2 linked regions of the Lonchura striata genome follow. The protein of the gene in region 1 interacts with the protein of each later gene in a biochemical or structural test. Links are inferred from orthologs where the notes say so. Each region holds a gene or a part of one and is shown in the gene's direction. Other genes may lie near its edges.

What was found.
Region 2: the proteins of RLIM (region 1) and LHX3 form a complex in vitro, tested with the Homo sapiens proteins (2 studies listed by BioGRID). The link is inferred for Lonchura striata from reciprocal best matches to the Homo sapiens genes RLIM and LHX3.

What each region holds. Positions count from the first base shown.
Region 1 is NC_134616.1:16,781,878-16,797,163, reverse strand, and holds the start of RLIM (E3 ubiquitin-protein ligase RLIM), read left to right. Parts: upstream 1-9,200; 5' UTR 9,201-9,323; intron 9,324-15,286. UniProt on the Homo sapiens protein: E3 ubiquitin-protein ligase.
Region 2 is NC_134624.1:9,074,361-9,089,786, forward strand, and holds LHX3 (LIM/homeobox protein Lhx3), read left to right. Parts: upstream 1-8,064; coding exon 8,065-8,134; intron 8,135-10,645; coding exon 10,646-10,817; intron 10,818-11,006; coding exon 11,007-11,209; intron 11,210-11,387; coding exon 11,388-11,539; intron 11,540-11,625; coding exon 11,626-11,797; intron 11,798-13,289; coding exon 13,290-13,708; downstream 13,709-15,426. Other genes in the region: QSOX2 (sulfhydryl oxidase 2), read left to right, coding at 1,686-2,236. UniProt on the Homo sapiens protein: Transcription factor.

The sequences.
Region 1 (15,286 bases):
ACACAAACCTACAGTACTGTACTCTAAAACTCTGAACTTTTTTTTACTTAGCTTAACATGTCTCTGCTTTAAACAATAAATCCACATTCTCACTTCTAGTACCTAAGTTTGGAAGCTTTTTCCAAGGTCTCAGATCAAATTGTATGTTTAATTCTAAGCTTTAGCATACAAGCCCAAAATTCTGAGAGTTCCCTACATCTCAGATTCTAACAGCAAATTATTTAATTTTAGATCAAGAAAACAATAATGTAGCAAATCAATGCAAGAGGCTAAGGCTGCTCCAAGTGGGCAGGGAGAGATCTTCTGACTCCAGTCTTGACCAAAGGAAGAAGCCAGGGATCTCCCTGGCCCCCATGCCTGCTTTTCCACAGCAATTTTGCCTCCCAGCGTATCATGCCCAGCTCCTTTTGTAACCATTCCTCCAGCTCCTGTTGCATGTTCACCCTTCATGGCTCTCATGTGTCCTGTCCTGTTGAAGCAGATGAGCTCATTGCAGGATAAGCTTAAATGAGGATGGTGACCTCCAGGTGCATGAGATAGAAAATCAAAGATGTGTAACAAAACAAGGTGTTTTTGAGGAAGAAGCTGAAAATTGCCAAGCCTGTAATTGTCTCTGCTTGTGCTTTGGCGGCTGCCCTTAGACAGGCAGTTTTGTCACTCTGCTCAGCTTCTCCTTGCTTTAACAAGGGACAAGGAACTCCACTGATCTTTGAAAAGCCTTCAGTAAGTGCCACGTTTTTCTTTCATGTTCTGGATGTCCCTGCTACAGCACACATACATCAAACCCTGTCCATAAAGGAGTAATTAATGGCACAGCTAAAGGGATGTCATAGGATGGGCCTGATTACAGCTCACCCAGAAATGTCTTCCCAAGTCCCAGGCTCTTTGACATTATTCTCCCCCCTTTATCTGGATTTCTTCCAGCATTAATTTCAGCCAGTCCTGGGATTATTTGAAAGAGGGCCTTGGGGGACTTGTTCAAAGGCACTGCCACCACAGACGACTTTGCTTTCTGAACTGAAGCATTTCACTCCTATCTGTCTGGACATATGAGCTGCTCAGCACTGCTTCATTAGGCAAGTTATTTTTAAATTCCCAGAAAGAGCAAAACATTGAGAGAGGAATTAGCATTTGCTGTTGAAACAGCTGCCAAACAGAAGAGGCAGAAGGCACTCCGGGTCCCGCCTGCTATCCCTGGGATTAACCAGGCACCAGTACCCAGTCACTGACACACTCTCAGACTGCACATGACACGTCAGAAATCATGGCCCAAGATAAGGATAGGTAAGTGACCATCAGAACTCTGTTCTGGATGTAAGTAAGAAAGTGACCATCAACACAAAACAAGAAAAAATCTTGGAAATCTCTCTTTTCCTCCAGCCCTGTTCTCTGTTTCCCCCTTTTTCTTACCTGAACTATTCAGTTAAAGGATTTTAACTCCATTCTGGTTTCTCCACACAAATGAATGAAGCAATAAAGCCTGTCCAGAGTCTTTGCTGCCCTTAAACAGCAAGACCCAGTGGGCACCCAGCACTTTCCAAATGCCACGGGACTGCAATAAAGCTGATGCTGCTTGATTGCATTCTCACTCTGTAATGGGTTTAAGTTTCCCAGTGGCTGATGGTGCTCTTTCAGGCCAGAGTTAAAGCAAAAGGCTTGGCAATGAATTGTCTGAGGCACGTTTTGGTCTCTGTTCACAAATGCTGATTGCCCCGTGGTTGGTGCTGCTGAGGGCAGCCAGGATTCCCACTGATAATGTTAATAATGCAAAAAAAAAGTGTTGAATATGGGAAGGCGGAATAGGTTAGGTAAAAATATCCTTTCCACCTCTCTGGGAGCACACAGGCAGCACCTGTGCTCCTGCCTGCAGCCACAGGGTTTCTGTATTTATCCAGAACAAATCTAGCAGGAGCTGTTCTCATAACCTGCTCCCAATTCCTGTCTAATGAAGGCTACTGGATTCCTCTGAATTAATGCTTGTTCAAACCAGAGTGTTTGCTTTGGAAAAAAAAAGATCTCATTAAGTATTTCCAGTGATTCTTCAGTGGCAGGCACTCTGCCACAGTCGGCAAACTGCCTGTGGATCTTCCAGTGGACACCTTTCCCCAGTCCTAAAAATGCACAGCAACCTGTATTGACATCCACCTACCAAACACCCCTCAGCCAGATAAATCATGGAATCACAGAATGGTTTGGGTTGGAGGGGACCTTAAAGACCATCCCATTCCACCTGCCAGGGCAGGAACACCTTCAACCATCCCAAGTTGCTTCAAGCCCCATCCAACCTGGCCCTGAACAATTCCAGTGATGGAGCAGCCACAGCCCTTCAGGCTGTGCCAGGACCTTACTATCTATAGGGTTAAATCTGTCATGTGCCTTCCCAGAGACTGCATTTAAAATGTCCCTTCACCTTTTATTTCTTAGTAAACTGTGTTCCTTGGGTGCTTTTTCACCAAAGTATGTTTTCCAGCTCTCTTCCTGGAGCACACACAGAGGTAATAAAACCTCTCGTGTCTTCCTTGGTACCTCGTTTTGTGATTCCTTGGAAGCATTAGCTCCTCTTGGCAGAGCATCTCATTAGGAGCTCTTCTTCAGCTGATTATTCCTCTTCTGAGTCACTGCTTTCCATGACTTTGTCACCCACCCCTTAGTCCAGCTGCTGCTCTATTCTTAGGCTAACGACTTAACATCTGGTGGCACGAAAAACATGTTGTTTATTTAAACTCATCTCATTAAGTGATCCAGATTAGGTTTGGTATTGGCGACCTGCCCCAACTTCTGTGCAGCTGCAGATCAACAGTAATTATTTGGCATTTTCTCACAGGTCAGTGATCACACGTTAAGTGTTGTGGGGTCAAGATCGGGCAGGAAGGGAGCTCTGCCGTGTTCAGTGCTCTGCTTACAATTACACTTGGAGACCTATCAGTTAGTTTTCAATCCAATTAATATTTGTCATATTGACACATTGTTCCTCTCAATCAAAGTACAGTGAAAGACAAGATCTGGTCTCTGGCTGAAGATTTCTTCTAACAGCTCTACTACTGTGAACTATGATATTAAAGAAAATATCTGATTAACGGGACAAAGCCTACTTTTCATAATGCTACAGGATCTCCTTGAAATGATTTATCAGCTTATTATCTGTTACCTTTTTTCTTAAGTATCTGTGACAACAGAATATCCAGGAATATCTCCCATTAACCTTTAAAGAGACAAATGGCTGGAACAGATCTCCTGTGGCCCCTTCCCTGGCAGCTGTTCCCTGTGAGGGGCCAAGTGCCCTCCCCTGTTTCCCACTCGTGCCCAGGGCCAGGGCCCCACCCCAGCCACGCTCTGCGGGGGCAGAGTCCCTGTCAGTGCCCAGTGCTGGGCAAACCTTTGGAGCTGTGCTGGCAAACCCAGCAGCCCCAGGCTCTGCCCCACCCTCTGTCACCAGGATGTCCCCAAACCCCACCCGCCCCTTCTGACCTTCCCAGCTCTGTCCTGTGAGAGCTCAGCACCGCTGGGAGCACCAAACCCAGAGCTCGGCAACACCGAGGAGACTCGGTTTGCTGTGAACAGAGGGAAAAGGGAAAGAGCTTCAGGTGTTTTAATGCTTGGAACCGTCTACCAGCACAGGGGTGGGACTGTCCATTTGGGGACTGTTCCTTTGGGACTGTCCATTTGGGGACTGTCCTTTTGGGGGCTGTCCATTTGGGTACTCTCCATTTGTGGGGACAGTTTGCAGGGACATAAGATTCCTATTTGGGAATCTCCATCTTGGGACTGTCCATTTGGGACTGTCCTTTTGGCACTGTCCAGTTGGGGACTGTTCACCTGGGATTGTCCCTTTGTGGACTGTTTAGGACTGTTCCTTTGGGACTGTCCATCTGGGATGGTTCCTTTGGGACTGTCCCTTTGGGACTGTCCCTTTGGGACTGTTCCTTTGGGACTGTCCCTTCGGGAGCTGTTTGGGACTGTCCCTTTCCCTGCAGCCCCTTTCCCTGAGCCCTTCCCCAGTGTCACATCTGCCACTGTGTCTGTGCTGCCCCGTGCAGGGGAGGCGATGGAGCAGGGCCTGTGGGACTGAAAACAGCTATGTTCTGGGGCTCTGATTGGGTTTTCGGCTTGGTTTAGGGGACAGAGATCAGGCTGTGCCAGGACACACATTACTCAGCTGCACCAGTGTGAATGCACAGCAAATTGTTTGGGCATGGCTGCTTTTGGGAGAAAGGCTGAGATTAAGACTTGATGTAAATTTAATTTTTTAAGTTTTGTCATGAGGAAAGACTCAAACAGTGTTTTTCTTGCGATTCTGAAAGATGTTTTTTGACCAACGTTATAATCCTAGAAGAAAGTTACTTTAAAATTAAATAAAGCGAATGCTAACCAAAATAAAGTTAATCCAGTAAGCATGGTAAGGAGTTCATCAAGATGGGGTAACTTTTCCAGTCTAGATTTTATTCTGTCCTACCTATGGAGCTTTTAATTTCCATTTGACTACTTTAGATGAGCTTTCTTGCCTCAGGGTTTTAATAAAATCAATGAACTTCTGTGCTTAAAACCTGGCAGAGATGGCTTTTTCAGAATAGAAATAAAGTTCCTTCATCAGGAGACAAGTTTTCTTGAATTAATACCTGCAAAGGTGAGTTTTCCAGAAAGGAAAAATAATAGTTTAATTGCACATGGATGTTCTTGGATGGCCTGGGGTAATTTTGTTAACCAGAAGGAAAAATAAAACCTCACTTTTTCCCACTTGACTTTGGTTATTTCTGGCCGGAACAGGGCTCAGGTGCAGTGATGAAGCACTTTGGTGACATGAGCAAGCACCTCTATGTTTGGGTTGTATAAATTGCCACACTCTGCTTTAACTACTTCATCTTCTGCAGCCTGAATTTTTTAGGTACAACTGGATTTATAGAATTTAACTAGGTGACAGTAAACAGCAGAGAAATCCTTTGGGATTAAGCAAATTCAGCAGAAGTTTCCACATCCTACATTTATCACAGACTTTGTATGTAACTTTCTGCCAGAATCTACAGAAAGACAAAGTCAATGTAAAAAGTAAACAGCAGCTCAGCTTTAAGCGCAGGTAGCTGGGAAAAATCAGAATTCCTGCATTTACACTCCCCAGCTGGCTTCATCTCCCCACTCAGTTCCTGGCTCTACCTCTACTTGGAGTATACAAAGATCTGAGTTTGGTGGGTCTGTTATTTTTAATTTTTTTGCTCAGGTTTAGAAGCTCCCAAGAGATTCAGATTTCCACACCTCACTGCATTTGGATTATTACTTAGCTATACTGAGAATGAGTTATTTTAATATATTTTTAGAAAAAAAAAAATAAGCCAACATTTTTTTCATCTATCACTGCATACCTAATAAGCAGTTTTTAAAACTCTAGGGAATTTAAAACAAATTTATTTACCCCCATTGAAGGAAACGACATTAAACTTACCATGGAAAAGTGTTGCAATTCTCTTTTGCTATACACACAGTAGCAAATTGAAAACACTTAAGTAGGAATTACACCATGCTTTTGCTGTAGATTTTGAATTTTTCCCTATACTGCAAATTTTTCTATGCAAATATATTTTCCCCTACAAGCTTTTTGAAATATGCTGCTACACTGCTCCTAATTTTGTCAAAGCTGTTTAGGAGATGTGTGTGCACAGGTCATTAATTATTATTAATGTCAAGTGGATACTGAAATCCATTAAGTGGTTTTGAAAAATCAGAGCTTATTCTGTACCTGATCAACTCTGTGAGGGCATTTGCAAATAAATCCACCAAATCGCACCCAGGGAGAGACTTTTCTTCAGCTGTGTGCCCTGGACCTCAGCTCCAAGTTTTTACTGCTAAGGAAGGTGTGAATCAGCAGGATCCAGCTGCTGTCTCTGCTCCTCACGGGTGTTCATCTCCCAGCAAACTACAAATGTCTGCCTCAAGAGTCGGAGCTCACCCACAGACGTGAAGAGGAATGTTTTATTGCTCTGTTGCTTTGCCATTTGATGATTTTCAAGACTTTCGGTAGGGTTAATCAAGTAAACCTATTCTGTTGAGGGGGAAAGATACAAACAAAATGATGTGTCAGATGTCAGGAGGCTGTTCCAAGAACATAAACCATCATCTTATCCCTCCATCCAAACAGAATATGCTCCACCTCCCATTTGCTCAATAATCCCTCATATTTTGCTGCTTAGGTTACTGGTGTCTAAACAAAGCCACTTTTATCCTGCTCTGACCTTGCCTTGTTTCCAGAAAAGGTGGGGGGAAAGGCAGGATTCACTTTCATGCATGACCAGCCTGTGGCAGTGCCCTCACCTCTGATTTCTTTTGAGGTGACACAGAAATGTCCTGCTGCTGTGCTAATTGCCAACACTCATACTCATGGCTGCCTTATCAATCCTGGGCACAAGGCTTCCCATGATAAGCTGGATCAATTGTGTGCCCATCACCTGCTCCCTGAATTATCCACGTTTGAAAAATGGAATGGGTTTTTTGCCAGCTTCAGTGGTGCCTGTCAAATATAAAGCAGTGTCCACACACTAAGCCACAGGGTCTCCATTTGGGGGATACAGTTTCTCTGGCCACTGGATTTTGTAGGGGTTGGACCACATAAAACATACGTTTGTCATGGGTCAGGAGCAAGACAACTTTTCCCAGTGGCAAATATTTTGGTGCATTAAATATTTGGTGCATTAAGTATTGTGATGCATTAAAACCACAAAATTGCTTTGTGACATTAAATTTACTCTTCTTTGGGGTTTTTTTTATAATATTACTCACATTTAACAGCCAAAGCAGAGCTGTTAGGTCACAGTTTGACCCAGCAGTACATTTAATTGTAACTTTAGCAACGATGCAAAAGACTGGTCTGATGTAAACTCACCCTCCCAACCCCAATTTACTTTTAAAATCATAAGAAGTGAACATTGTCCAAGCAAGTTTTATGCTGTGTTAAGTACTACCTCTCCATCACTCCAGGTATGTGGTGTATCAATACTCAATTGCTTCATGTACAGGTTATTTGAACAAAAACATAGTTGGGAACCTACACCTGCTCCAGATGAAAGTGGGACTCCTTCCTGCTCTCTGTTATTAAGGATTTTGGCATCTTCCTTTCCTGGTCACAGGCTGTGGCAAGTAAAACTGATGAGAAATATGCCCTGTACCTGTTCCTTCCCTCTTCTCTCGCCCGGACACTGTGGCTGCCTTTGAGTTCTCAAGTCTGCTGGAGGGAATTTAAAGTGTGAATTGTGAAAAACACCAATCACTTGTTTTTTGTTTTTTTTTTTTTAATCTTAAAAGTTAATAATAAAATAGTTATAAAAATAGTAATAAAATTAGAGTAGTAAAAATTTGGACACAGGATTAGGACACTACAAGACAATAAAAAGCAAAGAATTACAGACATCTGGATGTTTTGGGGCACTGAACTGCCAAAAACACGTCTTGGGAGCAAAGGAATAACCCTTAAAAGCAACAGCCAGTTGCATATTCATCTATCTCATACATGATGCATAAATTCTTTGCAAATTAAGAATGTTTCTGGTTTTTGTCAAATTCTTCCCCTTAATCCTGGTGGTTCCATAAAGATGGAGAGAAGGTGGAAGAATGTTTGTCTTTTCTGATAAGGAGGCTGTAATTCTTTAGATTTTCTGTTGCTGTTATCTCTATGCGAAGAGTTTCTTGATTATCATATCCCTTTTCTTGAGCTAGTAAAAAATATCCTACATTGCAGAGTTTCTATTTTAACATTATGTTGTAACCTAAAACTGTATTTAACACACTACTTAAAAAGGATTAATACAGTATTACAAAATAACCCTCCATAACACACATAGTATTCAATTTAATATTTGTGAAGAGGCAATCATAAAATATGCATTTTTCACATTAATATATAAAACCACTTCATTTACATTAGAAGTTGGACTTGTATTGTTGAGTAGAAACTTAACAGCTTCCACAATCTTTAAATGCAACACCCCCCTCAACTTGACAGTGCTATTTTTATAATGAACCACCAAAAGGAGAAAAAAAGGTGTCTCGTGGGCTTCCTGAAATGGTGTAAAATCCTCAGGAATACGTTTTTTCTCTATGTATCAGATACTATGAAGATAACTTCCTTGCAAGACCTTAGCAAGATATGACATTTTGGGCATTAAAATGGGATCTTTCAAAACTCAGCTGCCCTCGGTAATTCCAGCAGTGAGGGGGAACACTGCAGAAGTGCTTAACCCTACATAACATGGGAAGTCTGGCGTTCAACTCATTAAGGCTCACATAGGAAAACATGAATATCTCAGTTTTCAGAGCTGCATGTAGTACACACCACCAAGTGAGGGGGGAAAACCCTGCCATAGTTATAGAGGGGAAAGAACGTTCACGGTTTGAGGTGGAGGAATGTCAAAGCTTGGAGGGAAAGGAATGTCCGTGGTTAGAGGGGGAGGAATGCCCATGGTTAGAGGGGGAGGAATGCCCATGGTTAGAGGTGGAGGAATGACCAAGGTTAGAGGGGAAGGAATGCCCATAGTTAGAGGGGGAGGAATGCCCATGGTTAGAGGGGGAGGAATGACCATGGTTAGAGGTGGAGGAATGACCATAGTTAGAGGGGGAGGAATGCCCATGGTTAGAGGGGGAGGAATGCCCATGGTTAGAGGGGGAGGAATGCCCATGGTTAGAGGGGGAGGAATGCCCATGGTTAGAGGTGGAGGAATGACCATAGTTAGAGGGGGAGGAATGCCCATGGTTAGAGGGGGAGGAATGTCCATGCTTGGAAGGATGAATACCCGCACCGACAGACGCCAGTACTGCCAGTATTTGTTTTTTTGGCACTGCTGGCCACCATCGACCATGCACGGAATCCCCTCTCTCCAGCGCCCACACCTGAGACAACATGAAACTTAGGGGACCGCGGGGATACGGACCCTACAGTGAACGGGCAGGCACTGCTGAACCCCGGTCCCCCCCGCATTCCCTGGGTGCTGGGTGCTCTGAGCTGAGGAGCAGCCACGGCAGCCCCGCCCCGCCCTCAGCCTCTGCCCGCACCAAAATGGCGGCGGCCCCTGAGGGCCGCGGCCGCGCGCGCTGGGCGGGGCTGCCCTCGCGGGCCGCGCCTGCGCGGGGCCGCGCGCGCCCCCACTTCCGGCTGCCGGCGGCCGCTTCCGGCCCCCCGTTCCTTGGTAACAATGGAGCAGAAAATGGCCGCCTGAGCGGGCAGGAGGCGGCGCGGCGGCGGAGCGGCACGGGCGGAGCGCGGACAGCCGGCACCCAGCCCCGAGCGGCGCGGGCAGCGGCGCACCCACAGCCGGGGCGGCGGCGGGCGTCGGCGGCGGCGGGCGGTGAGCAGCGGGGCGGGGGCGGGCTCTCAAAATGGCCCGGGGACGGGAGAGGCCCAGGCCCGGGGGAGGCGGCGGCGTCCTCTGCCCGCAGCGGGAGGCGGGAGCGGAGCCCCTCAGTGCCGGCTCGGGGCCGGCGGGGCGGCTCGGCGGGGCGCGGGAGGCTCCGTCCGCGGTGCCGTGAGGGAGCGGGGGGCGGTGATGGCGGTCTGGGCGGGTGTGCCCGGATGGGCCGCGCTCCGTCACCCCGGGGCCTCTCCCGCCGGAGCCGCCCGGATCCTCCGCTGCGGGCTGGAGCGGGGGCTGCGCTGCCTGCGGGGAGGGCAGACGGGCCCCGCGCCCTGCGGGTGTCCGGCCGGGCTGGGGAGGAATGGTGAGCGGCTCCTTCGGGAGGGGTGGGGGAGGGGGTGGTCAGAGCTGCTGCCCTGGGCCTCGTCCGCGCTTGGGCGTCTGCTGCGGGAACCGCAGCCTCTCACGGCCGCGTTTTCCGCCCGTGCTCCCCGAGAGCTGGGCCAAGAAGCCTTGTTGTGGAAGACAGGCGAGAAGAACTCTTCCTCTCCCGCTGTGCAGAGCTTTGGATCAGCCTGTGACCTGTTCAGACCTGTGCTGTTTGCTATTCCTGTGCTGAGTTTCTCCCCAGTTAAGCACGTCATCTTTGCTCTGTCACCTTAGCTTCCTGTGCAGGTTTTCCCCTGCCCCTTTTAACGATGTTTGTTAGTATTTAAGGGTTCTGGTTCTCTGTTTCAAAACCTTTGTCGAGTCCAGCTGCATGTATGTGTTTATCTCGAGTCTGCTTTAACTGAGGAGCAATGTCAAGCTGTGTGTATGTATATCTGCCTGGCATGTAGTGATGATTAAGGTTTGTTTATAAAATTTATTATGTGTCCCGATTTTAGTGTGCAGCAGAAGTCTGACAAAAGGTTTCACAGGAAAAAAACCTGAATTTTTAAAATAATAGTAGTATTATTTTGCTGTTTCTCAGCAAGGTGGAGCCTTGATGCAGAGAAGCTCCTAAACAAGAATACAAACTTGATAATACCCAATAGTATCGTCACACATCACATTTATTTTCCTGAACGTGTTGGCAGTATTGGGTAATTTCAGCTTGGAAATACTTGTCAAATGTTCAAAAGAACTTCTAATTTGTCCCCGAGTTTTAATTGCAGTGACTTGTCAAGTCTTTTTAAAACAAACAGTTCGCTGCTTCTCGGGCAGTTAATTATCTTAATTGAGGGTCAGATATTTAGTTTAGTTGTAGTGGTCACCTAGCACTTAAACTGACTCTGTTCCCTCTACAGGTTTACCATTTTGGAATTAAAATAATGATAGCTTGGAATTATGTCTTGGGAAGGGAAAACACACCACACATTATAAAATTAAGGGTTTCTTGTTATGTTAGACCACTAAAGCACAACAACTGCAGTGTTCCCTTCATCAGCAACTCTGACTGGGTAAATGTTTGTCCCTGAAATAACCACACACCAGTGTTTTTCAAGCTCTAGTGGTTGCCATCTCTATCATATTTATTTTCCATATTACTGAATTCCTAGAAAAGGCTGTTGCAAGTGTCTGCTCTCCAATATGTGTAGTTGGGTTTTTTTTTTGAGGAATGGATAGCGTGATCCTTAGATTGAAATGTTTTCAAAACACCCTTACATCAGACACCTGCCTTGCTTGTTCTTTAGTCCTCTTCCCTGTGGGGATGTAGCAAAATAAATCCCTTGATCTTAGCAGAATAATTCCAATTGCAGTGGAGGTGTTACATTTTTTTAAAAATCACAGCATAATAACAATGCAATTAATATAGAACACAATGCTATATATTAATAACATGTTATTAATATTAATAAACATAATATGTTTATATAACATATGACTCCATATGTCTAAAGTTTGTGTTTAAGTCCAGCCTAATGTAGCTTAACACATTACTGGAGTGTCCTAAATTCTTTTTTTGTAGAGAACTTCAGTTTCCATGTCTTAAAACACTTGAATCCAGACATGATTATTGGGTGTTTAGCCAAGGTTTTGTGGTTTAATCTCAGTCTTGGTGAAAACTTATCAGCGGCTGAGTTTGCAAAAATTATTCGTGAAGGGATAAAACCAAATGTGAACACTTCCTTCATGATCCCTTTATGGGAGTCTTGTGCTTCTCAAAACCAAAACTTCTAAAGAGTTTAGTAGTGTCATAACTTAGTCGGGAGCTTTGTGTGCTGAGTAGGGATAGCCAGGAGCATCCCAGGGACTGGTTTTGCCTTTGCACAGCTTCTGGCTGCAGGTAAGATCATAAACACAAGCCTGTGTCTCCTTCAGAGTGCTCAGGTTTGTATTAATGAGGTGCTTGTTAGGAGCTTTTGGCTGCTGCATGGTGTTCAGGATCAGCTTTTGACTCGGGGAGGTCTGCAGGGTTGGATGGTCTCATAAAACCACCTGATGGTTATGGAATGTAGGAAAAGCCAGCACGTATTTTATCTTCATTCAGTATTTAAAATCATCTTGTGCTCAGAGCACTCTGGGTTTCGATGTGCAAGGTATATGTGCACATAGTCCTATTAAAATGCTGGAGCTTCTCTGCCTTGGGATGGTATCAGAAATGGAATTGTCATGGTACAGATGCCTGTTTAAATTCAGATAAATAGATAAATTTGCCTTAATTTGATTTCCCACCTCTCTTTGTTGGGCAGTGGATATCAGCAAGAACAGGAACGCACGTATCGGAATTCCTCTGTGGTTTGTGGTTGCAGTGATTGTTGCTCTTTTACTGTTAGCAGTGCCTGCATTAGCAGCAGTTGTGTGGAGACAGCAAGATTCAGCAGTCAATTTAAAGATGGCTTTTTCTTTTTTAATTGAAAGTCAGTGAGTGTTGATTGGCTTGGTGTTTTCACTAACCACAGCTTGTGTTTCTTCAGGAATCAAAACTCTACTTGTCCTTGGCTATCAGTCCTGTTCCAGTGCTGTCTCTCAGGGTCAGCACTGCTTACTTGTGTGCAGCTTTACTTCTTTTGAGTTCAGCGTGGGCCTTCTGCTGCTGACCCAGCTGGAAGTTCATTTCTGGGCAAAAAGAGCATCACTTCACGAGCCTGCAGTGCTGGAAACTTGCTGCACCTCGTATACGCCAAGCTTTCTCTTCTGTGCTATCTGAATTTGATGGCAAAGGCAGTGTTATCTTAATTTTATTTTCCACTTGTATGTGGAAAGTGTTGTTTTAGTAACTGCAGATGATAAAAGGCAAAGCCCAGCATTTTGGCAGTTGTTACTGCATTTTATTTTCAGAGCTCCATCTTGGTTCCACATGCTCTCAGTATTCTGGAATTGCTAAGTTCTGCCCTGATTTCCTCACTTCTTTCTGACTTATCAGGAGTTGTTAGTGTTTCTTTATCTCAGCAGTTGGTTCAGCTGAAGTGTTTTTCCTCTCTGGTCTGTTGGGGTTTTTTATTCTGTGGAACTTTCTGCCACTGTTCTGCACAAGTATTCATTTGCTTTCTGTTGTTTGAAATGTATGTTCAGAATGACATCTTGTTTGAGGGCCTTTGCTTTCAAACACTGGGTAATGAAAAAGCTGAATCGATGTTTAAAACTCATTATTAAAGTGGCATTTAAATTTTACAGGACTTTTCATAGAACACTTTATAGAATACAAAACTTTCTTCCAGCTTTGCAAGACTGGTGCATTTCTGATTTTAAAACTTGTGGTAGATTTATTAAAAAGCTAATAAGAACCTAAACCTGCTGTTCATCACAGTGGAAATAAAAAGCCACAATAGAAGGGAAAAGAATCCCAAAATTCGTTATGCCACTTCGAAAATTAGAAAAGTTTCTTCTTTTTTACTGTTTCTAAGATGGAGATGAGTATATTGGACCTGTGGTATCAAAGACTTCGGTGTGATCACAAAAGGCACCTTGTGCACCTGCACAAAAAGAAAAAGCCAAACAACTTGACATAATGAAGCTCCATGTATAATGCAAACAGATTACTTTCATTTCACTGTCTTAGGGTGTCTTTTTCCTTTAATGATGGGATTCACTGACAGTTTTTCCTTCTGCTTTTGAGCTTGCAGACTTGAGTGATGAAATATTTAAGATGAAAATGTAGTTTCTGTTATGTCTTACTTCCAGTTTTGAGTATGGAGAAATTGGATACTGACTGGCATGGAAACTGTTTTTTCCACTTTGAATTCTTCTAGGAAAATGAGGTGGAGTGGGTTGGATGAGTGCTGTGTGTGAAGTGGGTTCAGTTTGTGCTTGAAGGAGCTGGGGTAAGAGGACTGCCTGTTCTAGCTGCTGTTCCTGTGTCATTTGAGACATGGAATTGGAGCGAGGCTGGCTGGGGCCGTGCTGCCATGGCACGTCAGAGCTGCTGAAGTCACAGTTCGTGGAAAGCGCTTGGACACGCAGCTGTGCTGTGCTTCTCTGGAGCTGAAGTGTCTTTGAGGCATGTTCACTGCAAGCTGGGCAGGGAAAATAGCCTCTAACGACCCAAAGCAAACAAATCCCAAGCAAATCCGTGCTTCTGGATTCCATCCTGAGTCACTCCTTTAGTCCAAGGGTTTGATCAGTTCTGTGGACTGCAAGTACGCAAGGTGCTCTACCGGTTGGAGTAGCTAATTAAGATGAGGGTATGAATCATAAATGAGAAGCTGGCCTTCTGCTGAGGACATCTCTGGAACACCCACACTGCCATCCTCTTTTTTGTTTATCCAGAGGTATTAACTGTGTTGCTGGGACGTGAGGTAACTCAGGAAACATTCCTGCCACACAGGGCACAAGAGATTCTCAGGTGAGGTTGATATACCGGTAACACCGACATGGGGGAGTTCTAGAGAAACTTCTTCTTGCACACCTGACTCATGACCAGCTGAGTTGGTTTTTCAGTTTAATTAAATTCCGTGCCTTCTGTTAAAATTTGAGGCTTGCCCCATAAATCTAATGAAAATTTTAATTTTAAGGTGTCGCTTTTTCATTAACCCTGCCAATTAGTGATTTCAGGGTTTGTCAGATTTTCTAAGTTCTGCCTAGTTGGTTTAATGAGAGCTCTAATGTTTTATGGGATTTCTTTTAAATGTAAAAAAGAAACCAGGAATACAGGCTAAGGTAGTGTCTTGGTGTTCAAGTAAGGTAACTAATGTCAGGAGATATTACACATTTTTGAAGGAGGAAGAACTAGAGATTCATTACTGTGCATTATAGTCCATTAATACTTTTTCTGGGAAGAATCCTGTAGTCCACAAGTGCTGTGCAGTATGGAGATAGGCTGTGTTACTGTTGAAGGTAAATGGGTGACACACACATGTTATCCCTGCTTGCTGTCCCACTAGAATTGAAGCAGTAGCACATTCCTGACTGGATTTAGTTCACACACAACCTGGCATGAAAGAAAACAAAATATTTCTTAGGCTGTATGAATGATAACTTTGTATTATTGAGGGAATATCCAGTACTCTTAAATTGTCCCTGTCCAAAAACATATAGTATTGCTTCCTCTTGAATTAAAAGAATGTAACAAACAATGGCTTTTGTGGGCTTACTGCAGTCTGGAGCAGCAGTGGGGAGACAGGCAGTCATTTGTGCTTGGAAATCTCTGAGGTTGTTGAAGCGTAACTGCAGGGAAGATACTTTTCTGATTTGTGGCAGGACAGGAACACCAATTAAGAATTCACTCTGTAGCTACTCTTGTCTGGATATTCAGCTGCTGAATAATTTTTTTTTTTTTTTTCCCAAGGAGAAAATTGTTTATCCTGTCTCCGATTCTCGTGCTTTGTGCAGTCCTTAGGTGGCCACCCCCTCACTTCCCTGTAAAGAGGTTTTTCATACCTGGATAATCTCAGCTGAAGTTGGCAATAACCACCAGATCTGAACTTCCTGCTCATAGCTGTGACCTTCCCCACCCTGTGTCAACTCAGTGCTGACAAGGAAGGACACTAAAGGAGAAATTTCTGAATCTTTTAGCTTGGATAAGAACAAAGCCT
Region 2 (15,426 bases), on another chromosome or scaffold:
GTTTCTCTTTGCACTAAATCCCTGTCTGCTGTTATGGATCTGGGTAATGCAGCATTAGTTACAATTTCAATATGCTACATTGTGTTCATATTATGCTCCTGCTGCATTCCCAAGATTTATGAAGAATTAAATACTGTTGTGAGTACAAACAGTTTGCCTCCTTTCTCTGAGGAGAAAAAAAAAGTAAATAATAAGAGATTAAATAAAAACATCCTCTAATTTTGGTTCCTATAACAGGCAACTCCTGTGGACTTGGAGTTGCCAAGTGGTGGAGCAATGCACTTATTTAGAACATTAAGGTATTGGAAAACTCACATGGATATTGATTTAGGTGATGCAGCAGCCAGCTAAAACAGCCTTTTAGTAAGAAGTATAAACACACTGGAATAAATAATAATGTTAAATTATGCTTTTTCAGTTTGCTAAAATTTCTCTGTGGGACAGTGATATATTTTCATCCTTAAAAGCTGCATCTGTATTTGTGGTGCTGTGTGAAAAATTGTGTTTGGTCAATGAAAACACCTTGGGGTGGGGGTCAGGAGGTGCCTGGATATGGCTCTGCCCTATTGAATTATTCCCTGTTCCTTTGAAATGCACAGGATTTACAGCATTTCCCTCTTTGGCAGGAAAACACAAAGTACAGGGAGTTTTCTGTTTGCAACCTTGCTGTAACACATTTTGTTTCTGCATTTTTTATTGAAACAAATTGATTGCTGGATGATCTTTAGGATAAAAAAGCCAATTTGCTCTTTTGCTTGTAAATATCAAGGAGACAAATACTTTTAAATGTCTTTTGAATCCCTATTTTATGCGGAATCATGGGGAAGTTTCCTGCTTTTAAAAAGAATAAAAATAATAAAATGAGAATAAAATGCAAAATTATTGTTTTTAAATATTTTAAGTGCTAGTGTACTAATCAGGTTAATAAATTAAGGGTTTTACCAGGTGAAGCTTTTTTTTTTCTAAAAATTATGTGCATTTACATTTTAAAATATTGTTTTTAGAGCAAAGTGTGAGACCAGCTGCAGCATTCAGCTCAGAAACATGGCCAGAGCTGTGAGCATCTGAAATGTTAAAATTAGATCTAATTCAAGACAGTGTTACATATTTAAAGGCTCACTTTTTAGCTGAAAAATACATCTTAAACATGAACATGGCTTTTAAAATACTGCAAATGTTTGTTCTGGTAGTGATGCAGAGCTGTGGAAAAGCAGGCTTGGGATGGAATGGTTCACAACACAGAAACATGAAAATATCCGAGTGTCTGCCCTTGGAGCTGCTCTTGCAAACCAGGCAGAAAACAGGGATTAAGGAGTGAAAAGAGCAGTTTGTTTTGCACCATAATTCAGGTTAACCCTGCAGAGCCCAGACTGTTGTGTGCTCCTGCCTTCTAAAAGCAGCAATTGCAGGATTTGGGGCTGGGATTGAAATGCTGCAGCTTTTACTGTGAGAAAAGGGAAATAATTGTGAGTTAGTGCTTGTATTTTGAAATGTTCGGAGTCAGAATTGGTGAGAAAAGTTCCAAATTGTGATTGTCTTTGTTTAATTCAATTATTGTGCTGTGGCTTTTTATGCCAACCTCACTGAAAGTGCAGAACACTCCCTGGGCAGTGTCTGATGGTACAGCTTTCCCACTTCATTCCTCCTGACTTTTTTCCATTTCTATTTTTTCTCCCCCCAATTAGGTGATCTGACTGAAGATCCAAAATTCCCCAAAGTTCAGTGGCCAACTCCAGACATTTGTCCTGCGTGTCATGAAGAAATCAAAGGGCTGCACAGCTGGAATGAAGCCCAAGTCCTGCAATTCCTGAAGTCCCACTACAGCAGTGAAAACATTCTCTACAAATACACCGAGAGCCAGACTGACCCCGCTGACAACGAGCAGGGAGGCACGAGGGAGGGGAAAGACAAAAACCTGCTGAAGAACTCGGGGGGAAATGGGGAAAAGAAGCTCCAGGAGAAGGAGAACCCAGGAGATCCAAGCTCCAGGGTGTTCCAGAAGCCGATGGGAAATCCTGGACCTGTCCAAGGTAGCGGCAAAAGCTCAGCTGCATCCGTGAGCCTCAAAGGGACCAGGCAGGCTGTGTCCTTCCTAGGGATTGGATTTTCCAACCTAGACATGAGTCTGTGTGTCATCCTCTATGTGGCATCATCCTTGTTTTTAATGATCATGTACTTTTTTTTCCGGGTGAGGTCCAAGCGCTGGAAAGTGAAGGCTCACCGTTCCTCGGTGTAGGAGTTCTCGCTGTACGTGGCTGTTGGCTCCCAGACACAGCTTTAATATTTATGATCAGGGATTTTATATGCAGTATTCCTTGGGTCAGGCCCCTTTCTTCCCAAGGCGTTCAGCTGAACAGGTGGAGCTGGCCTTGAGATCCCCAGGCTTTGCCCAAGGCCACGTCAATGTCCTCGCACGGGAGCGTTGCATTTGGCAGTTAAGATTTTTCCATGACTTCCCACCAACATCCTTTACTCATTTCCAGAGTAAACATTGCATTATGCAATCTGCTGTGCCTGCTGGAGAAGGAAATTGGATATTGTTTTGTGTATTTTCAAGTCAGGTGTTATTTTTTTTTTTTTAGTTCATCCAGAGCTGCTTTCACCTCCCCGAGTGCTGAATGGTACCTTGGCTGCTTCACTGGGAGAAGCAGGAATTCTGATGTTTCTTTTCAGGAAACATGAGTTCTCTTCTGATTAAATCAATTCTAAACCTCTGTGACTTTCTGAAATATTATTTACGTATTTAAAGTAGGAAGCATTTCATGTTCAAACCATTCATCCGTTCTCTGGTGCATTCCAGACAAGGATCTGTGTGTGTCATCACTAGGATGAGAGTTTTGGGCACAACTAGCAGCCTGATTCTGAATGCTAAGTAATTATGGTGTTGTCCATGTGGAAACCAATTCTGATGAACTCTAGGAAAGGAAAACAATGTTTTTAGTGAAGGACAGCAAGATTTATGTTATTGTGGCAGAACAGGTTGGAAAATCTACAAATACTGAGTTTCTTCTGTTGAATTTCTCCATCACAAGAGAGCAATTAACACTTCCCTTGGTATTTCCAACCAGAGCTCTCCCATTCTGGGATGTCCAGTTCCCTCTGCAGCTCAGTGTGGGGTCCTTGGAGCAGCAGTGAGAAGAAATCACAAAAACATTACAAAATCATCCTTGGGAGTAGGAGTTGCTGTGATCCTGGCTGGGGGGGTATAATTCACGTCCTGGATAGTGAAGTTTATAATCCTATCCAATGTAATTGAGCATGTTCTAGTTATCCATTACCTAATCTTTAGTTAATCCTAATAGGTTTTGGCTTCAATGTTTTCTCGTGGCAGTGAGTTTTCCAGATTAATTATGTTATATAAAAAGGCTTTTCCTTTCAATTCTACATTTGCAACTTTTAATTTAATTGAAGGTTTGCTGGCTCCTCTGTTACATGAGAAGGAATAAGGAGTCCCTGGCCAATTCCCTGGATTTATTCCATTGGTGTGTCCTCCTCTAATTTCCCTCAGAAGCCCCAGCACAGAAAGTTTGAAGCCTGGCAACAAAAAAAGCACAGAGACTCCACAGGGTGATTTTTTCATAATCAAATATTGGCTGTTCACAAAATTGAGTCTTTCTGACGGGTCTCTGCAGCATCCAGTTGGAATGACAGAACTGAGGTGCAGAGATTCACTGTCCCCTGTAGCTGAGGTTCATCACAGTAACACCCACAGAGAGGAACAACTTTCTGGGGCTGCTGTGAACGTGTCAGAGGAAGAAATCTCAGTTCCCATGACCCTGTCAGTCCAACATTCCTGCAGAGGGGCTGGGTCTGTGCCCGTAGAGGCCCCTCAGAATTCCAGAGTTCTGGCAGAAGGAATCATCCTGGGTCTTTCCTCTTTAGGAATTTATGACTCCAAGCCTTGGAGCAGCTGGGCTTGGATTTCAAACACCCTGCAAGCACAAGGGTGATGGTGAGCTCAGGGGAAGGGGGTCCAGGCTCATCAGGGCAGGGTTTGGGCTGGAATCCTGTGAGAGATCCCAGGGCCAGGCTCATTCAGAGGAAAACCCAGAGATTCCACACTGACTTTTGAAAATCAGGTAACTTTGGGGTGTTCTCAGCCCTCCAGCAAGGATACTTTGCTTTAAAAGGAAATCCAAACACCAGGAAAAACTAACCCAGCTCAGCAATGTTGAGCTAATTCATTCCTGCTCTCAGTATTGCACATTCTCAAGTTGAAATTCAGTCATTAGTTGTTTAGAATTCTAACAAGTACATAGACCTGGTTTCATAAGCTTTGACTCATTCTGCTCATTTTCATCTGCACATGAAAGCAAAAGGCCTTGGAGGTTTGTAGGGATGATTTTGCCATTAAAAAGCAGCAAATGTGGGTTTGGAATAAAGTTTAACTTCCACATTGCTGCAACCCCGCTGCAAACAACAAAATGAATCAATACTCAAACTTCAGTGGCTTTTTTTGTCTCTTTATGAAAGTATGAAATTAATGAAATTAAGATGTTGCTTGTCCATATTGGTGCTCCAGCTTTTGCCAGTGAGCCAGCCAAGGCTTTCACTTCAATGTCCTCATCTGGGAAGGTTTTCTTGACTTTGAATTCACTTGAGCAAATCTTGGTTTGCTTGGGTTTATTTTTGGCTTTCTAATGACAAATTATACCATTTTATGTCTCTGTAACAATACAGTCTGTGCTGGGACGTGGGGGATGCTGCCAGGAAAGTCTCTGATTTAAAAATTGTCTCCAAGCCCCACGTCCTGAACCTTGGAGGGTTTGTTTGTGTGGTGTGTTCCTGCAATGCCACTTCCCTGTGGGAATCCTGCTGTGCTGGGGGCAGTCACTCAGCCCTTTGTAATTCATGGAGCTTTCTTTGCTCTTGGGATGTTTTCAAATAGGAAATATTAAAATAAAAGGAATAGAATGTGTCAGGAGAGACAAAGGCTGCAAGTGCTAAAGAAACCCAATGAAGTTATTTGTGAGAACTCCTAATTTTCTGTATCCAGCATTGCATCCATCCTGCTGTTCCTGCACGGAGCTGGATGGGAACAAAAGTCCCAGGTGTGGTGTTGCACATGAGGTGTTGAAAATAGTGACAATACCATTTCAGTAATTTAAATGTTCTATTTATTTGAAGTCAATAACTTGACATTTCCAAGTCTGTTCTGTTTGGATTGGGTTTTTACTGTCTCATTCCTCTCTTGGAAGGAAAAGTGACTGTTTTGTACTAAACTGTAAATTAATGTGCTTGTTTAAATAAACTGCAAACGTTTGGGCAAAGTGGATGCGTTTTGGCTCTTTACCTGTGTTTGCAAATTGTTTTGAGCTGAGCTTTATTGCCAGGACAGCTCATGAACATGTCCACAATAAACCAGATCCATCATCCTGTGGAGGTGTATTTTTAAACCCAGACTTCTGAGGAGCTGCTGAGGAATCTGAAGGAGGGAAGAGAAAATAAACCAGGAATAAAGAAAGGTTTGAGTGGGTTGGTTTTTATTAATGGTTGTTTTTTATAAATGGCAGAAGCCCAAGTGAGGAAGGCCATGGGCAAGGCTGGTGCCTGCTGCCCCCTGAGCAGGAGGGCACAGGAGGGTGTGCAGGGAGATCAACACAGGGACTTCTGTGGGGTCTGGGTGTCTCAGCGTGAGACACCACGGGGTGGCAGGTGCCACTGCTGGTCCCGAGTGGGACACAGCCCCTGCTCCCTGTCCCGAGTGGGACACAGCCCCTGCTCCCTGTCCCGAGTGGGACACAGCCCCTGCCCTCTGTCCCCAGTGGGACACAGCCCCTGCTCCCTGTCCCCAGTGGGACACAGCCCCTGCCCTCTGTCCCGAGTGGGACACAGCCCCTGCCCTCTGTCCCGAGTGGGACACAGCCCCTGCTCCCTGTCCCGAGTGGGACACAGCCCCTGCCCCCTGTCCCCAGTGGGACACAGCCCCTGCTCCCTGTCCCGAGTGGGACACAGCCCCTGCTCCCTGTCCCGAGTGGACACAGCCCCTGCTCTCTGTCCCGAGTGGGACACAGCCCCTGCCCTCTGTCCCCAGTGGGACACAGCCCCTGCTCCCTGTCCCCAGTGGGACACAGCCCCTGCTCTCTGTCCCGAGTGGACACAGCCCCTGCTCTCTGTCCCGAGTGGGACACAGCCCCTGCCCTCTGTCCCGAGTGGGACACAGCCCCTGCTCCCTGTCCCGAGTGGGACACAGCCCCTGCTCTCTGTCCCGAGTGGGACACAGCCCCTGCCCTCTGTCCCGAGTGGGACACAGCCCCTGCTCTCTGTCCCGAGTGGGACACAGCCCCTGCCCTCTGTCCCGAGTGGGACACAGCCCCTGCCCTCTGTCCCCAGTGGGACACAGCCCCTGCCCTCTGTCCCGAGTGGGACACAGCCCCTGCCCTCTGTCCCCAGTGGGACACAGCCCCTGCCCTCTGTCCCGAGTGGGACACAGCCCCTGCCCTCTGTCCCGAGTGGGACACAGCCCCTGCTCTCTGTCCCCAGTGGGACACAGCCCCTGCTCTCTGTCCCGAGTGGGACACAGCCCCTGCTCCCTGTCCCGAGTGGGACACAGCCCCTGCCCTCTGTCCCCAGTGGGACACAGCCCCTGCTCTCTGTCCCGAGTGGGACACAGCCCCTGCTCTCTGTCCTGCCCGCCACAGCTGCCCCACCCCTGCCCCGTGCCCGGGGAAACCGGCACCACCACACCCGGGTTTGCTCAAAGCGCTTCCTTAGAGGCTCAGACTAAAAATCCACTTTAAAACCGAGCTTAGAAGGGACCGTGTGGGTCATCAGATGTTCCTGGCCCTGGGGACGAGCTGGTGGCACCCGGTGTCACTGCAGCACGGTACCGGTCACACTCGGGCAGGACCTGGAGCCCGACTCCCGCCTGGCGTTCCTGGGTGCTTTATTTGGGGACTCCATCCTGGTCCCCAAAGGGAATCCCTGCATTTCCCAGCCTCGCGGGCTGCAGCCTGTCCCCGGCCAGACGAACCATCCCAGGGGACAACCCCGACCCGGCCCGCGGCCCCGCAGGACCCGGGGAGGGGAGGGTGGGCTGGGCTGGGTGCCTCGGGGCCCGGGGCTCGCCGGGGGCTCCGCGGCCGCCCCCAGGAGCGGGCGAAAGTCCCGGTGCTGCCGTGGGCAGGAGCATATGTGAGTTTGGAGGCTCCCGCCCTTAAGCTGCTTTTATTAATTTGTAATCCCCTGCGAGCAGGAGGTAAAGGGATTCGGGGGATTAACGGGCTCACAGTAACAACCACAATTATCAGCTCCGGCTGCCCGCGGCAAGCGGTGCACACACGCACGGGGCTCTCCCCGGGCAAACGCGGCCCCCGCGGCCGTGGCAGCGCCCCGAGAGCTCCGCACACGCGGGAACGCGAGGTGCCGTGGAACAGAGCACAGGCACAGGCTCCCCACACCGTGTGCACGGCCAGACCCCCACCCCGCGCTCCCGCACCGCCCCAGGGCCGCCGCGCTCACAAAACCCCCGCACAGCCCCGCGTGTTCCGCACACGCACACTCCGTCCGTGTCCTCCCCGTCTTCAATTAGCGCAATTAACCTCCTGCACCGCCGCACGCCGCTGGCCGCGGATCAGGCATGAATTCGTTAATTAATTTGCGGCGGGGAAAGAGTTCCCCCGCTGCCCACGAGCGGATTCAGGGGAGCCCCGCACTGCGGGGACAAACGAAATCTGGGCTCGGGGGCTGCCGGGGGGCAGCCGGGCCCGGGCGGAGGCTCCCCCCGACGGCGGCTGCCCCGACCCCCTTCGTGCTGCCGCCGGGGGGTTCGCGGGGCTCCCGGGGCCGCTTTGCACCCGAGGGCGGCGGCTGCAGCCCGAGCCCACGCGTCGGGCGCGGCCACGCGTGGGACGGCGGGGACAGCGCTCCCTCGGCCGCTTTTGTGATGCTAAAGAGCCCGGCGCTGCACCGCGGCCCAGCTGCGGCCCGGTGCCGCCCCCGGCCCGCCCCCCGCGCCCCCCCGCTCCGCCCAGCCCCGCGCCGCTCCCTGCGCGCCCCTCCGCGCCGCTCCGCCACTCCTCCGCAGCCACCCGCGCACTTCGGACGGCGTCCACGGAGGCCGCGATGCTGCTGGAGCGGGTCCGCGCCGGCTCGGAGAAGGCAGCGGAGCTCTGCCCCTTCCCGCGGAGCCCAGGTGAGGGGGAGGCGCGCAGATCTCCGCGTCCCCCCGCGGAGGCAGCGGCGGCTGCTCTGGGAGCCGCGGGACCGGCCGTGCTCCGTCCGTGTCCCGAGGGCACCGCCGGGGCCGCGGTCGGGGCTGGGTGCGGGGATGGGCGGCCCGACGGCATCGGGGGGTCCCGTCCCGCCCGTCCCGCTCCATCCCGCCCGCCCCTCGCTCTTTCCTGCCTCGTCCCCGATATCAGAGCCCCCCTCGCTGCCCCCGGCCGCTGCTCCAGGTGTCCGTGGATCCCGGGGAAAAGCAGCGGCTGTCCCGCGCTCACCGGAGCTCTGCCCGGCCCGGCGGAACGGCGGCTCCTGCCCCGGGGTCCCACCGCTCCCCGCTCAACGAGGACAGGGACAAAACGGGGACTTCCCGCTGCCCGAGGGTTCCCTCCGATTGTAGGGACCCCCTGCGCCCTCCTGCCCGCCTCCCACGCGGCTTTTTCCCCACTTTAGAAAAACTCCGTTAATTCTTCTCTTAAATGTTCTTCCGTCCCGTTGAACGAACAGGGTCAGCCCTGGCGGGGCGGGGAGAACCGGGCTGCGCTCCCCCGGCGTGGCCGGAGCTTCAGGGCTCAACGGGGGAGCGGGTCCGGTCCCGGAGCGGGGCCGTCCCGGTTCTCACCAACATCGAAAGCTTTCGATGTGGCTTTAAAAAAAAAAAAATCAACGACGAGCCGGGACGGGGTCCCCCCCGGTGTGCGGGAACAGAGGTGTCACCGTGAGCGGGACGGACCGCACGGCCCCGCAGCCGCCGTGAACGGGCTGGTGCCCCGGTCCAGCCCCGGTTCGCTTTTCCCTGGCTGTCCCCGTGGGCTCTCCGCGGTGCGCACATCGCGGCCGCGGCAGATGCGCGTTTGACCCGGCGACCGGGAGCTGCTTGCGCTCCGGTAGAACGAAGGACGAGCAAATTCGTTTTACCCGCAGGACACGACGCTCGTTCACGGCCCCGCGGTCCTGGGCTCCGCCGGGGCCCGGGGAGGCAGCGGGAAGGGCTCGGCGGAGCTTACCGTGGCCGGGGGCCGGTGCCGGGGGGTTCGCGCCGCCGGGGGGCCCGAACCGTGGGGCGCTTTGCCCGGGCCGGGGACAAATGCCGGGGTTTGCGGCTCACAAGGAGCTCGGGGCAGCGGCCGGCGCTGCCTCTCCCGGCGGGACCCCCGCCCGCCGCCGGCCCCGTCGGGGCTCGTTTCCCCGGAGCCGCGTCCCTCCCGCCGGGCGCAGCCGGGAAGGGGCGGCGGGAGGGGATGTGCCGCCGGCCCCGGGGGCGGGGGGGATTAAATACAGCGCTCCGCCATGCCCTGCCCGGCGCTTCAGACCGGCACCGGCGGCGAGGGCCGGCGTCTAAAAATAACCCGCTTTAGCGAATTAAATCCCCGGCGCCGCGGGGGTGGCGGCGCTGGGAGCGGGGGACAGCAGCCGCTGCTTTGGGGGGGTCCGGCGGGGGCAGAGCGGCCGCTGCGCCCTCGCCCCGCGGGAGATGCGCCAGAGCCCGCGGCCCGCCTGAGGGAGCGGAGCTGCCGCGGCCGCGGATCGCCATGCAGCGTAAGAGCCGCGGAGCGGGCTGGACCGGGACCTTGCCGGGCTGTGCCGTGCCACCGTGCCCGCTGCCGGTGCTGGAGCTCCGTCCTGGCCGGGGCCGCTGCCTTTAGCGCTGCCGCTGCTGGGGTTGTTTGTTTGGACGCGGTGAATTGTTAAGGATAACGATTATCACCCCCACCTCTTACCCCCGTGCACGGCGAGCCAGCTCCTATATCTATAGAATTATCTTTACATAGAAATGCTCTCGTGTCCGCACCCATCTGTTTCTGTACAGCCGTGTCATGCATCTCTCCGCCTCTATCTATACCGATATAACCGTATTTATGTACCTCATATCCATATTTTCACCTACTTATCTCTATCTCTACCTATATACTGAAATCTATATATTTATGTTTATATATATCTGTACATTTATCTGCTGTATCTGTTTATTTTTATATCTCTATTTCTCCGTAACTGTGTCCTTATCTCTTTCTGTATAATCTCTGTCGGTATCTAAAGGGGGACGGGACAAGACTGCCGCGTTTTCATTTTCAGTGCAATTCTCGTAATTTTTGGTAGTTTCTTTCCCCGCCCCATTCGGGCTACCCCACCGTTGTTCACAGGTGAATTTTGGAAGTTTAGGAAAAGGAAAAAGAGCCTGGGATAATTATAGCTTTGCCAGCGGCTCGCTCGGGGACTTAACTCCGTTTCCATCACTTCCCTTCTTGTTTATCCCGGTTCTCCCGGGCACTTCTCCCGGATTGCGCTCGGCTCGGGGGTTCGCTGCTCCCCACGACGCCGCGACAACGAATTTGAACGAATAATGCTTTTTTCCGTGCTGTTCCTCGGGTCACCCCCTCGTCCACCGTTGGTCACCTGCAGCCCCGGGGCGGCGGGCCGGGCCGGGCCGGTCGGGGAGGCGGAGGGGCCATCGGGGCTGACGGGGGCTGCCTCCCCGCAGAGATCCCGCTGTGCGCCGGCTGCAACCAGCACATCGTGGACAGGTTCATCCTCAAAGTCCTGGACCGGCACTGGCACAGCAAGTGCCTGAAATGCTCCGACTGCCAGACGCAGCTGGCCGAGAAGTGCTTCAGCCGCGGGGACGGCGTCTACTGCAAGGAAGACTTCTTCAAGTGCGTGGGGACGGCCCGGGAAGGGACGGGGGGCGGCCGGCCGCGGGTGGGTGTCGCAGCGCGGGCGCGCTCGGGGTTCAGCACCGGGACAGCGGCACCGGGAGGAGCACCGCGGACAGCGCCGGGCCCGGCGGGGACCGTGCCCGGCCTCGCCCGGCTCAGCGGCCGCCGCTTGTCCCCCATGCTCAGGCGCTTCGGGACGAAGTGTGCCGCCTGCCAGCAGGGCATCCCCCCGACCCAGGTGGTGCGCCGGGCCCAGGACTTCGTTTACCACCTGCACTGCTTCGCCTGCATCGTCTGCAAGCGGCAGCTGGCCACCGGCGACGAGTTCTACCTCATGGAGGACAGCAGGCTGGTCTGCAAGGCGGACTACGAGACGGCCAAGCAGAGAGGTACCCCTTGCCCTGTCCCTTCCACCCCCGAGGGCAGCAGGGAGGCGGCCCGGGGCTCTCCTGCCCTCCGGGACAGGCTCACACACCGGGCGGCAGGGTGGAGGGAGGGACCGGGGAGGGTCGGGGGGTCCCGCGTCCCCCGTGGTGACTTCGCCCCTAACTCGCCCCGTGTCGGCAGAGGCTGAGTCTACGGCCAAGAGGCCCCGCACCACCATCACGGCCAAGCAGCTGGAGACCCTCAAAAACGCTTATAACAACTCGCCCAAACCCGCGCGGCACGTCCGGGAGCAGCTTTCGTCGGAGACGGGGCTGGACATGCGGGTGGTGCAGGTGAGTGCGGGGACCGGGCCGGGCCGGGGCGGCGGGCGCGGAGCGGCCCCGCAGGCACCGAGCTCCCCGGCGTGCCCCGCTCGCAGGTCTGGTTCCAGAACCGCAGGGCCAAGGAGAAAAGGCTGAAGAAGGACGCGGGGAGGCAGCGGTGGGGGCAGTACTTCAGGAATATGAAGCGATCCCGGGGGACATCCAAGTCCGACAAGGACAGCATCCAGGAGGAGGGGCCCGACAGCGACGCCGAGGTTTCCTTCACAGGTGGGTCCCGCAGCCCCAGCCGGGCTTTGCGGGCGCGGGCTGCGTCCTGCCCCAGAGCTGCTGCCGTGCCCCGGCTGTTTCACCCCTCGGGGCCGCGGTGGGGATTTGCGGCGATAAACCAGAGCGGCCGAGGCGGGAGAAGGGCAGAGCCGCGGGATTCAGCGCGGGGAGCGGCGGAGCGAGGGGCGGCCGGGCCGGGGAGCGGGGAGAGCTCCCCGCGCAGCGCGGCGGTGCCAGAGCCGCTGCCCGGCACGGCCTCTTCAAGGGATCCTTGGAAATACAAAAAACGGGAAGCCCAGAAGCACGGAATGTTTTTCTGGGAAAACGAGCGTGATTTGTTTTTTTGTTGTTTGGTTTTTTTTTTTTTTTTAAGTCGTATTTAGGGATGGGTTTATCTGTGCAGTTGCTCATTAGGACTCTTCAGTGGGAGCTGTTCCTGTGCTGCAAAAAGGAAATAAGCGGCTTCTGCAGCAGTGTGTCCCCTTTTTGGGGCCGAGGTTTCTGGTGACAAACCCAAAATTTCTGGACAGACCAGCAGCAGCTCACCCCACACTCTCCAGACCCGCAGGGACAGTGTCCCAGGCTGGGTTACATTTGCAGAAACACGTTCTGCACAATCCCAACTCCAGCCCAGTGCTCCATTCCAAATTTCTGTATCATTTTCAGGAATGGGAGAGAAACTGAAATGCAAGCCGCTGTATATATTTACATAGACTGTGTATTTATAAACACACACTTTTTCATCTCAGCTCCTCTCCTGTGCTCCTAAAAACAATTTGATTTTCGAGTCTGTTTATACACACTGTGTATCAGCTCATTAAATATTAATAGTCTATAAATAATAACTAAAAAATGTCGAACAATTATTGAGAGCTCAGGTTTGTATCCCCAGCAACAGAGCAGCTCTCACTGTCCATAAAGCTTCTAACGAATACAAACAATTTTTTCTGGAAACTTAAAAAAATATTACTCATTTTTTAGGAGTGTTTTTAAGCCATACAAATACATTCTGTGTTTCTGTGGTTTCATTAGCCTGTCCTGACCAGACAAATATTTTAATTTAATATCTCTTTTCCTGAATAATTGGGAATTTATCTTGCATTGTTTCAGGTAGCTCCTAAAAGTGATATCAAAATTCAAGATAAACATCAAAACCAAATAGAAACAAAAAGTGAAAAGACATCGAATTCACTTCCCCTTTAAAGAATTATTTTTAAATCACAGTTTTACATTTTAATACGTACTTTTTATGCATGTTTTTAAAATCCAAGATATATTAGTTGTTTGTATTCAGAAAAAAATATTAATCCCATGGCTGCCTATGAAGATTTATTGACAAGGATGGGAATAATAAGGAATTACAAGTGGAAGAGCATGACTGCTCAGCTCCCATCCTTTTAATCTATTTATACCCGCCGTTCGTGGGAGTTCCTGGGTGACTGGTGCTTTTCCATTGCTCCCCCAGTAAAACCAGTCCTTTTCCCTTTCCCAGACGAGCCCTCCATGTCCGAGATGAGCCATTCCAACGGGATTTACAGCAACCTCAGCGAGGCCTCCCCGGCGCTGGGGCGGCAGGCCGGCACCCCCGGGAGCTTTGGCCTGGAGCACGGCGGGATCCCGCCTCAGGAGCAGTACCACGACCTGCGCCCCAACAGCCCCTACGGCATCGCCCCGTCCCCGGCGTCCCTGCAGCCCCTGCCGGGCCACCAGCCCTTAATCTCCAGCCTGGTGTACCCGGACAGCGGCTTGGCCATCATGGCACAGAGCGGAGCCGGCGTGCCCCAGCCCATGAGGGTCCTGGCTGGCAATGGACCGAGCTCCGACCTCTCCACCGGCAGCAGCGGCGGGTACCCTGATTTCCCGGCCAGCCCGGCCTCCTGGCTGGATGAGGTCGACCACGCTCAGTTTTGATGCTGGCAGTCGAAGGGGAAGGACTCGGTGCTGTTGGAAGGGGAAGGACTCGGTGCTGTTGGAAGGAGAAGGACTCGGTGCTGTTAAATGTCACCTGCTCTTGGAAAGGACAGAGGGACGAGCCGTGAGCGGTGCAGGAACGTGACACGGAGGGAGCAGAGGGGATTTCGGACATGACCCTGCCATGATGGTGGCGATGATGATGGTGGACAAAGGCCCTGGCACTGCAACCATCGGCACCCGGAGCGTCCCAACCAAACCGATTCTTGTGTCTTTACCGAACACCAAGACTTGTGCTTTACAGATTTGATATGAGGTATTTTGCGTTTTGTTGTCAGTGCATTCTCCAAAGCACCCATCCACACCAAAACGTTTTTAAGGGAAAATAAAATCCTCATCTACGGTGAAAGGTGTGACAATGTCTATATTTCTATAGGAGAAATGTTCATAGTGAATCACTTCAGAAATCCATGGTAGGAATCTTCTCTGTTCTTCCAACAGATTTTTTTAAAGTGCACCAATGCGGTATGTTTTGTTTTACTTTGAACTTACATTAACTTTTCTAAAACGAAATGCTCTTAATATGCCAATCGTTTATCAACATCCCTTTTCCTTTGTAAAATGAAAATCATATGTTAATTCTGCTTCTCCCCTCTTTAATTTGTAGATTGCTAGGTTGACTCTTCCATATAAGCATTAAACCGTGAATAGATGTATTTATTACCAAGTAATTCCACGTTTATCACGAGGTCAAGAGGTGAATTTTCTTGACCCGGGGACACCGGTGGTGGATCTGGGTTGTGGATCTTACGCTTTTCCTTCAAATTTCTTTGCATCAGTTTTACTGCAAAGTGTCTCAAAAATCACCCTGATGTCTTGTTGCCAAAAACCTTCTCGGGGGGTCGGGCTGGTTTAGGATGAGCCCTTCCCCAGGCACTGCTGGAGGGAGCACCCCCTTCCCTGGGGACACGTCTCTGCTCCAGGCATTTGTGTATTTCCACGGATATCGTGCAAGCTGATTGTGAGGAAAGGCAAGACAATATGTATATTGTTATCTGTACAAATTATGGAATTAACTGTAGATTATGTGGATGTCCAGTGTCTTTTATTTATATTCTTGCTTTCTCTCTGATGATCAAATACTTCAAGATTACAAATAAATTTGTCAGCTAAACTTTACATAGTCTTTTGCTAAATTCACATCAATATCAGTAAATAAAAAGCCTGAAACTAAAAGATCTTAAAACTTGATCAAGCAAAGTGTTGAAATATTCCCTTTCAATAGAGGGGCAAAATGCTTTGGAACAACAAAAAAATGAGGACATGGGAGGCTGGCAGTCCTTGGGAGATCTGAGCAGGACTGTTCTGGCTTTAATCATGATTTTGATGGGACACTGTTATTTTTCATCGTTTGTGGCAAAGGAGGTGGCTGACACAGCAACAGGAAATAGAGTCTGATGTTATCTGTCTGCAGAAAGTTGTGAAACACAGATATGGAAATATTTCAGAATATTTTCAGAAAGAAAGGGAAAAAACTCCTAAGGGAGCCAGTTTGATCAAACGTATGAATATATATATTTGTATTTACACAGGAATATATATCCAGATAAAGACACATCCACGTGTCCGTGGTCACACTGCTGGGAGCAGAGTGCTGAGCCCTCCGGTTCGAGGATCTGAGGACAGCCACTTTTTAAGACACTTTTTAACACACGCAG